Linked DNA regions of Neodiprion lecontei. The protein of the gene in region 1 purifies or fractionates together with the protein of each later gene. This does not show direct contact. Links are inferred from orthologs where the notes say so. Each region holds a gene or a part of one and is shown on either strand. Other genes may lie near its edges.

What was found.
Region 2: the proteins of ubiquitin thioesterase trabid (region 1) and sarcolemmal membrane-associated protein purify together in Homo sapiens (affinity purification with mass spectrometry; 3 studies listed by BioGRID and IntAct, with this or other methods). This does not show direct contact. The link is inferred for Neodiprion lecontei from reciprocal best matches to the Homo sapiens genes ZRANB1 and SLMAP.

What each region holds. Positions count from the first base shown.
Region 1 is NC_060260.1:13,807,858-13,812,680, forward strand, and holds the start of ubiquitin thioesterase trabid, read left to right. Parts: upstream 1-1,821; 5' UTR 1,822-1,954; intron 1,955-2,117; 5' UTR 2,118-2,229; exon of another isoform or gene 2,230-2,251; intron 2,252-2,332; exon of another isoform or gene 2,333-2,393; 5' UTR 2,394-2,570; exon of another isoform or gene 2,571-2,576; intron 2,577-2,981; 5' UTR 2,982-3,374; coding exon 3,375-4,135; intron 4,136-4,701; coding exon 4,702-4,823. Other genes in the region: NADPH-dependent diflavin oxidoreductase 1, read right to left, coding at 1-936, 1,215-1,300. UniProt on the Homo sapiens protein: Ubiquitin thioesterase, which specifically hydrolyzes 'Lys-29'-linked and 'Lys-33'-linked diubiquitin. Also cleaves 'Lys-63'-linked chains, but with 40-fold less efficiency compared to 'Lys-29'-linked ones.
Region 2 is NC_060263.1:38,398,716-38,405,433, reverse strand, and holds sarcolemmal membrane-associated protein, read left to right. Parts: upstream 1-2,113; 5' UTR 2,114-2,474; coding exon 2,475-4,829; 3' UTR 4,830-6,143; downstream 6,144-6,718. Other genes in the region: G patch domain-containing protein 11, read right to left, coding at 1-494, 601-826; zinc finger CCCH domain-containing protein 10, read left to right, coding at 6,608-6,718. UniProt on the Homo sapiens protein: Associates with the striatin-interacting phosphatase and kinase (STRIPAK) core complex, forming the extended (SIKE1:SLMAP)STRIPAK complex.

The DNA.
Region 1 (4,823 bases):
TCTTGCCCATTGGGTGTGGTGAATTCTATTAATTTCTCCTTTTCTAACTCACTTTCAGTTATTAGACTCAAGATCTCCATTGCATATTTTCTTGGCTTATAATTCAAATCCCAATATTGTTCCACAATTTGTCCCAGAGTTAATTTCTGCTTCAATATATTAGGAATTTGAATTTCTGAAGGACTTACAATGACAGTTATATTCTGATGTAAAAAAACTCCATTATTTTTTAACACATCAAAAAACTGATGTACTTTTTCAGCAGAATTCTTTGGCCTCAGGTAAACAACATCCCCAGGCTCATACTTGGCATTTTCGACATGAAATTTCAGCAATCTAACATCCTGAAAATGATCGATTGAAGTCATTCTAGTCGTTTCAATAACTCTGCCGACTTTGATGGTATCATGATTCATATATAATTCATGTCTATATATATCGTTGCGTGAATATGCATCTTCTGCAGTAACAGAGCTGCAATTATCAATGAGAGAGACATTAAATTTGGTGATGATGTTATTTTTATCACTCATTGGGATTCTTGTAGGAATATCAAATAATGTAGATAAATTAGTCCATAATTGTTCAATCCATGGTACTGTGACAGCATCAATACCAAGATCGTGTTGATCATCGGCCAATCCAATGGATAGAATCTCTGTTCCACCTAACTGAGCTAGTCTTTTACTTAATTTTTTCGCAGCAAAGTTGTACTTGACATAGGAACTATCTCCCAGTCCTAGTACTCCATAATACATATTGTGCAGCGAGTTTGCCAGTAAGTTTTTCCGCAATAAAAAGCGCCAAAATTTTTTCATGTTTGTAGGTGGGTCACCTTGACCAGCTGTGGCAACAACGAATATAACTATTCGTTCGGAAATCAAATTTTTTATATCATAATCGTCCATTGAAATGACAGAACAGTCCGCACCAACTCTGAAAACCAAGGATGGAATTAAGATTTTCATAAGTGTATGAGAAAAACTTTAATTCAATAACGCAAGTATCATAATCTTATGCAAATAATTGTAGCTACAAATGGACAAAAGCACGTTCATCTTGAAAAGTATATTGAGAAAGACGTGTTTTCTTTTTTTATTATTAGTAGTTGTTATCAATTCTATGCGAAAATTGAAATACTACGTACACATTTGTACTATGTTACATTTCGATCCGAGTTTTTTCTATCAGACATAAGAGTATACGAATTAAACCTTTTGGCATCTCTCCAAATTTGTTCTGCCACGTCCTGAGCCGTTCCAGTTTCACTTCCATATAATATTAAAATTTTCGATGTCATTTTAACAATTCCTATTATTCATGAGATATATAAGTACTGAAATGGACCGACCAAAGAGGGAACGACAAGCTACTTAAAAGACGATTTTTTAGGGTTAAGTTTTCAACTGGCTTAATCTTGCGACATCATTTTGTACCAAAAAATAACAGCAGACAACGCGCGAGTAGGGAAATAGTTCCTTGGTTATTTACTTGCATATTAATCATATCTTCGACGATTGAACAATAGTGATAGCTGTTCGAGAAGTTGTATGTATTATTTGACAAGGAAATGTCAAGGTCAAATGTCTAGGCTAAGACCCATATGGCGTAGAGCCAGAAATATATAAATAAATGAATTAGACATGCACGGCACACAGTCATTCAACTAGCGCAAATTGTCTACGTTTGGCTACGTTTGGTTTGACATCATGCAATGTGAAAGTGTCCGATTCACTGATCTCTTGATACTGGCGATCCAATTCGTCTTGAGATGAGGATTGATAGTTTTGCGACAACGTTGAGAATTGGCTGTAAGGATTTGGGGAAAAATATCTAATAATAAGTAGCGAATGTCAGATGCAAAGTGGAGGTAAGCGTCGAAACGTTGTTCAAAAGTAGGATACGGATATCGTCGATTGTAACATTGCCAATCTAAAAAGCCATATACCGGGTGGTGAGTAAAACGCTATGACAATGTACTTTATTTTGTTGTACTGACATTGCATTGTGTAATAATTGAAAACAGACAAAATATTTGAGAAATATTCAAGCACTGCATGATTGAAAGTTGCAAAATACACAGAGGGATAGACCGACTGCGTATAATATTATTGCAGAATTGGAATATTTGTTGATGAAGGTTGGCACCACTGGCTGTTTGCGAATGACTGTCAAAACCTACTTTCCCCATAGAAGTTCCCGAGGAAATACGATGTCAATCTCGTAGACGTGAGTAACTCTCGTGCGAGAAGTGAGTCTTCACTGATTTAACGCTCCATTATTCGCGACATGCTTATTTATCATTTTTGTCTCGCAACGTGAAAAAGAAAAGGCGATAAAAAAAAGAAACGCACGACGCAAACCCTTGTCAAAGTGCACGTAATACGTTGCAGTGGGGTGCTGGCCCAGAGCAGTGTCTTTCGTGCCTATTCTTTAACCAGTTTGAGGAACGAATGGAGTATTCTGGCATGTAACGAGATATTCTACCAGGATCTGGGGTATCCTGTCCGAGGCGAGGAATTACGCAGAACCAACGTCTCTTGAAATCCATTCGGTAGTGAAGAGAACAGGTCAAGGTTAACCGTTTTCCTCGTTTTTACGAATACTTTTTCCCCAGACTGTTTTGTTTTGATTTTCGATACATGTACATAATTTTATTATTTTTTGATAAAATCTGGTGGGAACTCTTACAATATATCTTTTTTTCTCCTGTTTCATCTTTCGGCAACTTGATGGTCATTATTGCTTTAACACTTCTTTTTTTTTTTTTAGCAAAACATGTATCGCCATAAATTGTTCACTTTTCTCTTCCTTTACTGGTTTTATTCGGAGTTAAAGTTTAGAGAAAAAGTCGCACTGTCTGTCATATTTGATTATTCATATGTACATTTTTTAAATCTTTATATGTCAAAGTGTTTTATCATTTTCTGCTGTTGAATAACTAGAGAGTTATTGATGTTTTTTTCTCTCCAATATTTCAGATAACTGCAGCTGCTGGTGGTTTAATATTCTCGCAGCAGCTTCTACCCTGTCAAAATCTGTCAAAATGTTCATCACGTGACATCAGCCGTCAAGAGATATGGAAAAACAATAAATTAACAATCCGCATAATTCCCAAGGAACAATTCAAGAAAAAAGGCCTATAGAAAAAAAAAAATCATCCCATTGTACTAACAAATGCTTTCTTGGTAATATAAGCAGAGGAAAAACTTTTCTTTAAAGAATACAACTTTGATCCATCTCCGTTAGTTAGTGACAGAAATTACCAAATTAAGATTTTAAAGCAATAGTATCGATCGATTAGTCGAATCATTTTATAAGTTGAAAAAAGTTGAAGGAAAAAAAAGTAATAGTAACAATCATAGGGAATTAAAATGAATAATCAAGGTGAGCAGACGGAGGGTAAATGGAATTGCGAGTATTGTACATATGAAAATTGGCCCTCATCTTTGAAATGTACAATGTGCAGAGGGGCAAAGCCTTTATTCGGGGAAGATATTTATCGTTTGCGCGATCCAAGTCCACAGCGATCAGGTTCTAACGTAGCGTCTGGTCCAGTACCTCAAATAAGTCAGTCAACAGACTTTTGCAACCTAAGCCCTCAAAATTACAGCCAAAATTTGCCTTCAGGAGGTAAATGGGCCTGTGACTTATGCACCTACCTCAATTATCAAAATACAAATCGGTGTGCGCAGTGTGGACACAAGAAACTGGTAAATCACTCCACATCTATACATTCGACAGCCTCAAATCTACACGAACAACTAGCACCATTAAGGCTGGGCGATCCCCCGCCTAACCCAGGGTCAAACCTACAGATAAATTCTCCGTTAATTAATTTACATCCTGAAAAGTACTCCTATGCGCAGCTGAATATGCCGTTGTCTAATACGCAGCAAGAGAAATGGTCGTGTCCGTCGTGTACCTATGAAAACTGGCCAAAAGCTACGAAATGTATAATGTGTGCCCATCAGAAGGAAAAAGAAAGAAGAGAAAGATCCATTACTAATCTAGGACTTATCCTACCCAGTCCTGACCGGGATCAGTGTCAGAAAGGCCTTCCGTCTCCGTCTCCGCCTCATACTCCGTACATCCATCAAGCTCATCGAGATGAAAACTTGGCAGTAGCCAAAAGGTACATGTATTGGCTTGCAAAATCGTGTTTATAAAACTTACTAGGTATAATTACTACACAGCTGTTGATTTACTATATATTTTTTCAGCCATTTATTGCAACAATAATTGAGACATTTACAGTAGTAATCCAATAGAAGATGATTAAAATTACGTAAATATGGATTCTTCAGTATTTATTTCGTTTTGTACATACTTTTAGAATACCGTGTGATAAACGAAGAAATAAAAGAAATAATTGAATGTACAATGAAATGAAGTATTCTTAAATTTTAATCAAGTTGTATACTTTATAATGCATCAGACTTTTAATTGACACGCTAAGAAATCACTCGTACTGCTCATTCAAGTAAAGAAAAGTAAGAAAGTAAAGATACTATTTCGAAGTTCTAGGATTGTGAAGCTTATGAAATAAAATCACTAAGTCAATACATTATGAGATGCCGTTCAAACTGATGCCATATTATATCGATAGTGATAATGATAGGTCGACTAAAAAGTGAAGTCAGAAAGATGAAATAGAAAGATAAAACAGGAAATTAACGCATTTGTATTTTATGGTTACAGAAGTTCTCATAGATATGAAAGAAACGATACTTTACCGGCTCCACAATCACCCAACAATTGTGAATATGAACGCAGATTAAAACAGCTTAGGCGTCATACAGACTGGTGCTGGTTAAACGCAT
Region 2 (6,718 bases), on another chromosome or scaffold:
TGCTGCCCCGCACCATATGCAATAAAAATATTGATCTCTTAGGTATTTGGTTAAAATTTCTAATTTTTCACTAGCTGGTATCCTGTAGTGATCATCTTCATTTTCATCTTCATCCTCTTCACTTGATTCCACTGACTCGTTGTTTTCAGAGTCTTTTTTCTCTTCTTCCACTATCGGCCAGTACCAAATTTCTACAGGTTTGTCAATATTATTTTGATTATCTAGCTGCTCGCAGCTGTTTTGACTTCTACGTAAATCAACCTCTATCATCTGCTCGGTTTTTCTCTGTGAAATTCTTCCTCGAAAATCATTGGCGTTAAAATTATCCTCTTTCTTCTTCCCATTTTTTGTTGCTGACGGTTTTTTCTTCGGTGCTCTGCCTAAGCCCAGCCTATTTGTCTTCAGATCAATCGAAATTGGCTCGCATATTCCACTCTCCTTCTTCCCGATTCCTTGCCCAGGTGTGTATCCCATTTTCTCCAATAATTTAAAACCTGAATATAAGTAATAGTGGATATAACAGTTTCGAAAATAGTTCAAGTAGGATATTTGTCTAGCTCCAAGTGTGCAGAAATATAATTACAATGATTTGAGCTTGACCTTTATTGTCACTAGTGATGGCAGATGCTAGTCCTTTATCTCTCGTTTCCTGTTCTATGACCCGTACAGACACATTTTTTTCCTTTAATCGAGCTTCAATCTCTGCCTTCTTTTTTAAAAGATCTAATTCCCGTTGATCTGAGCGACGACGAGCGAGAATTGGAGTGCAGTGTTCTTCGGTAGCATGGAGAAATTTATCAGACATGTAATCTTCATCATCGGACATGATTTATTACCTACCTGAAAATTGAATACAGATAAGTAGAAATGTAAAAAATTCGCAACCACGTTGAAGACTAAACCATTGTTGTGACAGACCTGATGAGTGAACATAACGTACCGATAAAAAAATTAATTAACAAGTGAGGCTCAAGATGGTCGTGACAAAAGTTCCCTCATATGTAATACCATAAACACTCAAATTTCTTCGATTCTTCCCCTTTTTTTTCGTTAATCTTCTGTCAACTTGCTTTTGAGGTTATCTTCAATTTCTACTGATAATGATTTGACCAAGTTATTCAAACGATCTTGTCACAGGATATTTTTCAAAAAATTTTACTCGCGCTTCTCCATTTGCACGTAAGATTCGCCTAGCCTCGCATTCAGGTTGATTGAAATACTTTGAGAATATCCATGTACGATGAACTCGCTCCGGTTTATGTGGGAAATTATGCATACAAATGGTCATGTGATATTTTAAAAGGACGTACGTCACACATACACATATTCATACGCAGATACATCCGACGGTCGATAAACGGAAGAAACACCGGAATCGGAATTCGGACTGACTCTCAAGGAACAAAGTGAATTCGGACCACTGTGTTTCCGCAGTCCACCCGTGTACAATATTTTGTCTTTCAATTGTTTATTTAATTGCTCGTGTAGTCTCTTATTCCCATACGTGAAGCGTAGAGAACTCCGAAGGCGATGCGATCAAATCACTAATACCATCAGTACCGAGTAAAGTTCACGGGAGTTCAACGCAATTGTTGAGAGAGCGAAAAAAATATTCTGATTCTGTGTGTCTGTAGAGCAACATCTCGATCTCGAGACATCGGAGATTTCGCGTAATTATCGTGTTAAAAAAGTGCTTTCTACAACTACACCTTCGTCGCTGACCCCTTGAACGTTCGCCGTGTGTTACTTACGTTGCATTACCATGTTGAAACTGTGCCTGACAAATAAATTATATCAAATCTTAAAGTAACAAACACCGTTCACTGTTCCGTGTTTTAAGTAAAGTATTTTCGTCTTGATACCAATAACGCAGAGCTGCTGCGAAAGTCGAGTGTGATTAAACTTGGGTGATATAATTTGACAAGCGTAACACAATACGCCTAGCGAGTTCCTACCGAGTGATGATTGTCCGTTTTTTATGCCGAGTTATGGCACGCTATTGTTAACGCCGATGAACCCTACGAGCCAGTTTAACAGCTATTTTCGTTGTGTGGGCGTGTGCAGCTTCTATCCACACATGGACTCGAACCATGGTACATGGTATCCGAAATTTTTCGAACATACAGCTTAAAGACCTTTCACCTTAAACGAGTTGATAATGTTATTGGGCGATAAGTTTCAAGCCATCTGGATAGGCGAATGAACTGAGAAAAAGTGACATTGACGTTTATGTAGTGGTGTACACAATATGAAGATCAATATTAATCATTGTAAAAATAATTGACGAAGATATAAGCTGCTGGAAATCTTATCGTGCATCCAAATGTGAAAATCCAAAATTAACACCAAACTAAACTAATCTCAACACTTTGATGAAGAAAGTGTTCAACGTACGATTAACCTACTGCCGTAACCACTAGCCAATTAATATATTTCTCATAGTTATATCCGTTAAATAAAGTTTACAATAGGTTATGGTTATAGCTAGTGGGGGTTGGATTCAAAATGCTACTTATTCGCCGACCCCGAACAATTCCAACCTGAACACTAGTAACACGCCAAACAACAAGATGGCTGCTAAGGCAGTTTTGATTTGTCGGGCAAATTCCCATCCATTTCACGAGCGCACCGTTTCGCTCGAACAACCGGTTAAAATTGGTCGTTCCGTGGCGAGAGCTCGAGCTACGCCGAACAATGCTATATTCGACTGTAAAGTGCTTTCGCGAAATCACGCCTTACTCTGGTACGAGGCTGGTAAATTTTATATGCAAGATACCAAGAGTAGTAACGGAACGTTTATCAATAGCCAAAGACTTAGCATAGGTGGCGAAGAATCAGGACCCAGGGAGGTGTGCTCTGGTGATATTGTACAGTTCGGAGTCGATGTTATGGAAAACACGAGGAAGGTTACTCACGGATGTATCGTCGCTACTTTAAAATTGTACCTGCCTGACGGTAAAGAAGCTAAAGCTAGCGTTAGCACGTCGGTTGCGAGTCCTACGAGTAGTGTATCCCTGGAGGATTTGTACAAACTTAATCAATTCTTGCAAGAAGCTAACAGACGGGAAGAGGTCCTTAACGGCAAACTTCATCACCTCCAAAGACTGGTAGAAACGACAAGACAGGCAGCCGATCAATCGTGGAAAGCTTTGATTGACGAGGACCGTTTATTATCGCGTGTCGAAACTGTCGAGAGTCAGCTAGTTGCTTATTCGAAGAATTTTACAGAGGATAAGATAAGGAATGAGCTTGTTAAACTCCAAGAAGACAAAGCACAGTATCAAACAGCGGCTAAGGAAGCTTTGCAGAAAATATTGCAGGAGAAGTTAGAGGTGACACAAAAGTTTGCCAATCTTGAAAGGCAGCTTAACAATACCGAAGATGAGTGTCAGAGTTTGCATGAAGTATCCAAAACTACGCAGGCTGAGCTACAGGAACTAGCAGCTAAGTATACCGAGGCCCAAACTAAAATAAGCGAATTTTCTAACAAATTGGTAGAGAGCGAAGACAAGATGAAGGACTTGGTAGCTCAAGCTGAACAAGAAAAGAAGGGACTGCTAAAAAGGATCAAGGATCAGGCTAGAGTGGAGAAAATCTTGCAGTCAAAACTGAGGGACTTCAGGTATGACTCTACTACCATTCACGAGAAAGTGACTGCACTTAGAAAGCACCTCAAGACTCTGCAAGATATGAATTTGGACCTTCTTACCGACGAGGCCCAGCTTGCCGTTAACAATATATTGTACAAAACAAAGCTGATGTCTATAGAAGACTTTGATTATAATGAGGAGTCTAATTCTTACGCGAACAAAATTGAGCATGACAATCAAATTAACTCAAACTCTTGCAACAAGAGCAATATCGACGTATCATTATCAGAGATAGATAAGATTGTAGGGTGCATCCTGGACCCACCTTCCAGGAGAACCCTGGTCAATGGAAACGCTAATTTAGATAATTTAGACACCAGCGTAGAGTCTGACAATAACTCTGAGGTTAGCGAAGACGCTTGTACCACCACCAGCGACGATGGCAGCGAAAAATCAGTCGTCGAAGTGAAGAGAACCAGCGAAGAAAACAGCACACCAACTAAAGCTGCCGGTCAGCCAGCTAGATTATTAGAGGTAAGATTTGCTTGCGAAGAAAATGGTGAACCTTTAGAGGTTCATTATGATCCTGTTGAACAAACCGGAGAGGAGTCCGAGGTTTCGAGTTTGACAAGTGATTCAAAGGATATTAAAAATTCAGCAGAAAGTGAATTCGAAGACATTGATAAATCTTTTGAAGTATGCGATAAAGAAAAGAAACGTGAAAATAGTGAGGAGCGTGACGAAGATGAAGAAGAATGCGGCGAGGGTGAACATTTAGATGGAGATTATATAAAGACTTTAAAACCGATATCGAAAAACGAGTCTGCACAACAAAGTTTACAGTCTAAGGAATATACTCTTCAAACTTTAATTGGCTCTTTGGACTCCTTGAAGGATGAAGATAACTATGAGGCACAGCAATTAGCTAATAAGGAGCTGGACGACCTTAGAGAATGGCTGATTCACGAGTCTAATGAAACTGTAATAAGTAAACTAAAGGAGTTGTATTATCGTGCTAAAAATGAGACTCAACGTATTCAAGAAATAAACGAAGAACTTGTCATTCTTAAAGAAAAGTGCAACGCTTGTACAGAAGAGAATACAGAACTAGTTAAAGGATACGAAGCTCTTAAAGCTCAGTGTGGAGATCTGTTGAATGTTACCTACACAGTTCCCATACAATACGTTGCACCAATCGCAATAGCATTTTTATGGATGCTGTTTGAAAAAATATTCTAATGTTCTCTAACTCTGTACATAGTTATTGTTCATACTATTATATTTGATTTTTTATGATGTCACATGTTAAGCATATTATTATGAGATATAGTATAAAGTAATTATCATAATAACAATAATAATAATAATACCAAGCATTACAGGATACTCCAGCATATTGTTTCGGTTGCAATTGAGAACCTTTTTTTATACGAAAAGAAAACAAACATAATAAATAAATTAACAGTGTACATATATACATATATTATATTTAACTCTAAAAGTCAAGGATGTGAAGATAAGTTTATTCGCTTCCATTATGAGTAAACATTGAATGGAAGCTCAGCATCTTACCATTTCAATTCAAGAACCAGAAAGAAATCAAATATTTATATTATTTTACTTCTATTTATATCCTTTACATCTTCAGTACACATAAAAACATTCAAGCATTGTGCCAATTCTTCGGAGTTGGAGATGTGTTAGAAAAATATATAGACAATACTGACGTACCGTATAAAAAATGAATAACCACTTTGCCAATTTCAATACCATATCGTTTTTAACGTATAAAACGTATTTCTACACTGAAAAAAAAAACGACATGCAAATTTATCGTATGTATCATTGATTATTATGCATTTTCATTTGCAAGTAATCGTGATAATGTATATTGGTAAATAAAATAACTAGAATGCAAAATTTTTTATAACTTAGCACGGAGAATCTTTTATACTCAAACTAAGTGAATATTCAGGAAAATTCAAAGATTTATGCAAATATGTAAAATTTATTCTCTACTGTACTAGCTGATATCACGCACTGAATATTGCCTGTGGAAAGCACTTGGTTCTGTTATATGTTAAATTTTATTGTAATAAATACATTAATGCAATGTTAATTGTTAGCTGGTAATTATGTTCTTGTTATTTAAATTTTCACAATATGGTTTACAGAACACCTCAATGTGGTATTGATCAGTATGGGCCTAGAGTTATTTTCATATTGGCAATAAATAAAATAATGGTCTCTCTTAATTATTCGTCGTTTATAGTAGATTAAAAATTTATTATATTTTCTTATCATGTTAGTTTTTGTAGTGTGCCATTGATTAATTCGATTCTTTCCATTTTGCAAAAAATAACTGAAAGATGTTGCACTATCTTTCCAGCGTAAAATGCAGCATGTTGTAGAATGAAACCAATTTGGAAGGTTTGAGATAGAATATGACGATAATAGTTATTAAATTCTGTACATATTTTGTTGATATAATATTAATACCTATGTAACAGTCACTATATAAAACGAAATAAAATTAAATTAATTGAAATTTTATTAATCCGTCTTACTATATCCTCTTGTAATTTGCACTGTGCTATCGCTTTCAATGTCAGCTTAAGCAGCCTTTAAAGTCAATTATTAGCCCTAATTAATTCTAGGAAGCATTGTTTTTTTAAAGTAGATATGAAATTAACTTGGATAAAAATGCGTTGAGCGAAATTTTTTTAATCATATACCTCTTGCATGTAATAGTTAAAAGTACAAATTAAGTATACGCATAATGAAACTAGTTGAAAAGTAATGAGGGATTAATTTTTTGTTGTAAGTAGTATAAATTTAATTATTGTATTGCATATAGTATACAGAAATTTATATCAGTACTTTGTGTTTAATTTACAGTCATGGATACCTAGCTGGTTCTAGTTCACTGAGTCATAACTAAAATCATAAGGACTTCCAATGCCATGCGGGCAATAATATTCTTGACAATAACTGGAATGTGCCGAAAACACTAACACATGGCAGGTGGTTCCAGTTCTAACGGAGATTCTTCTCCAAGTCGAGTATGTAGAGATTTTCTGCGCAACGTTTGCCACAGAGGGAAGCGATGTAAATATCTTCATGAAAGA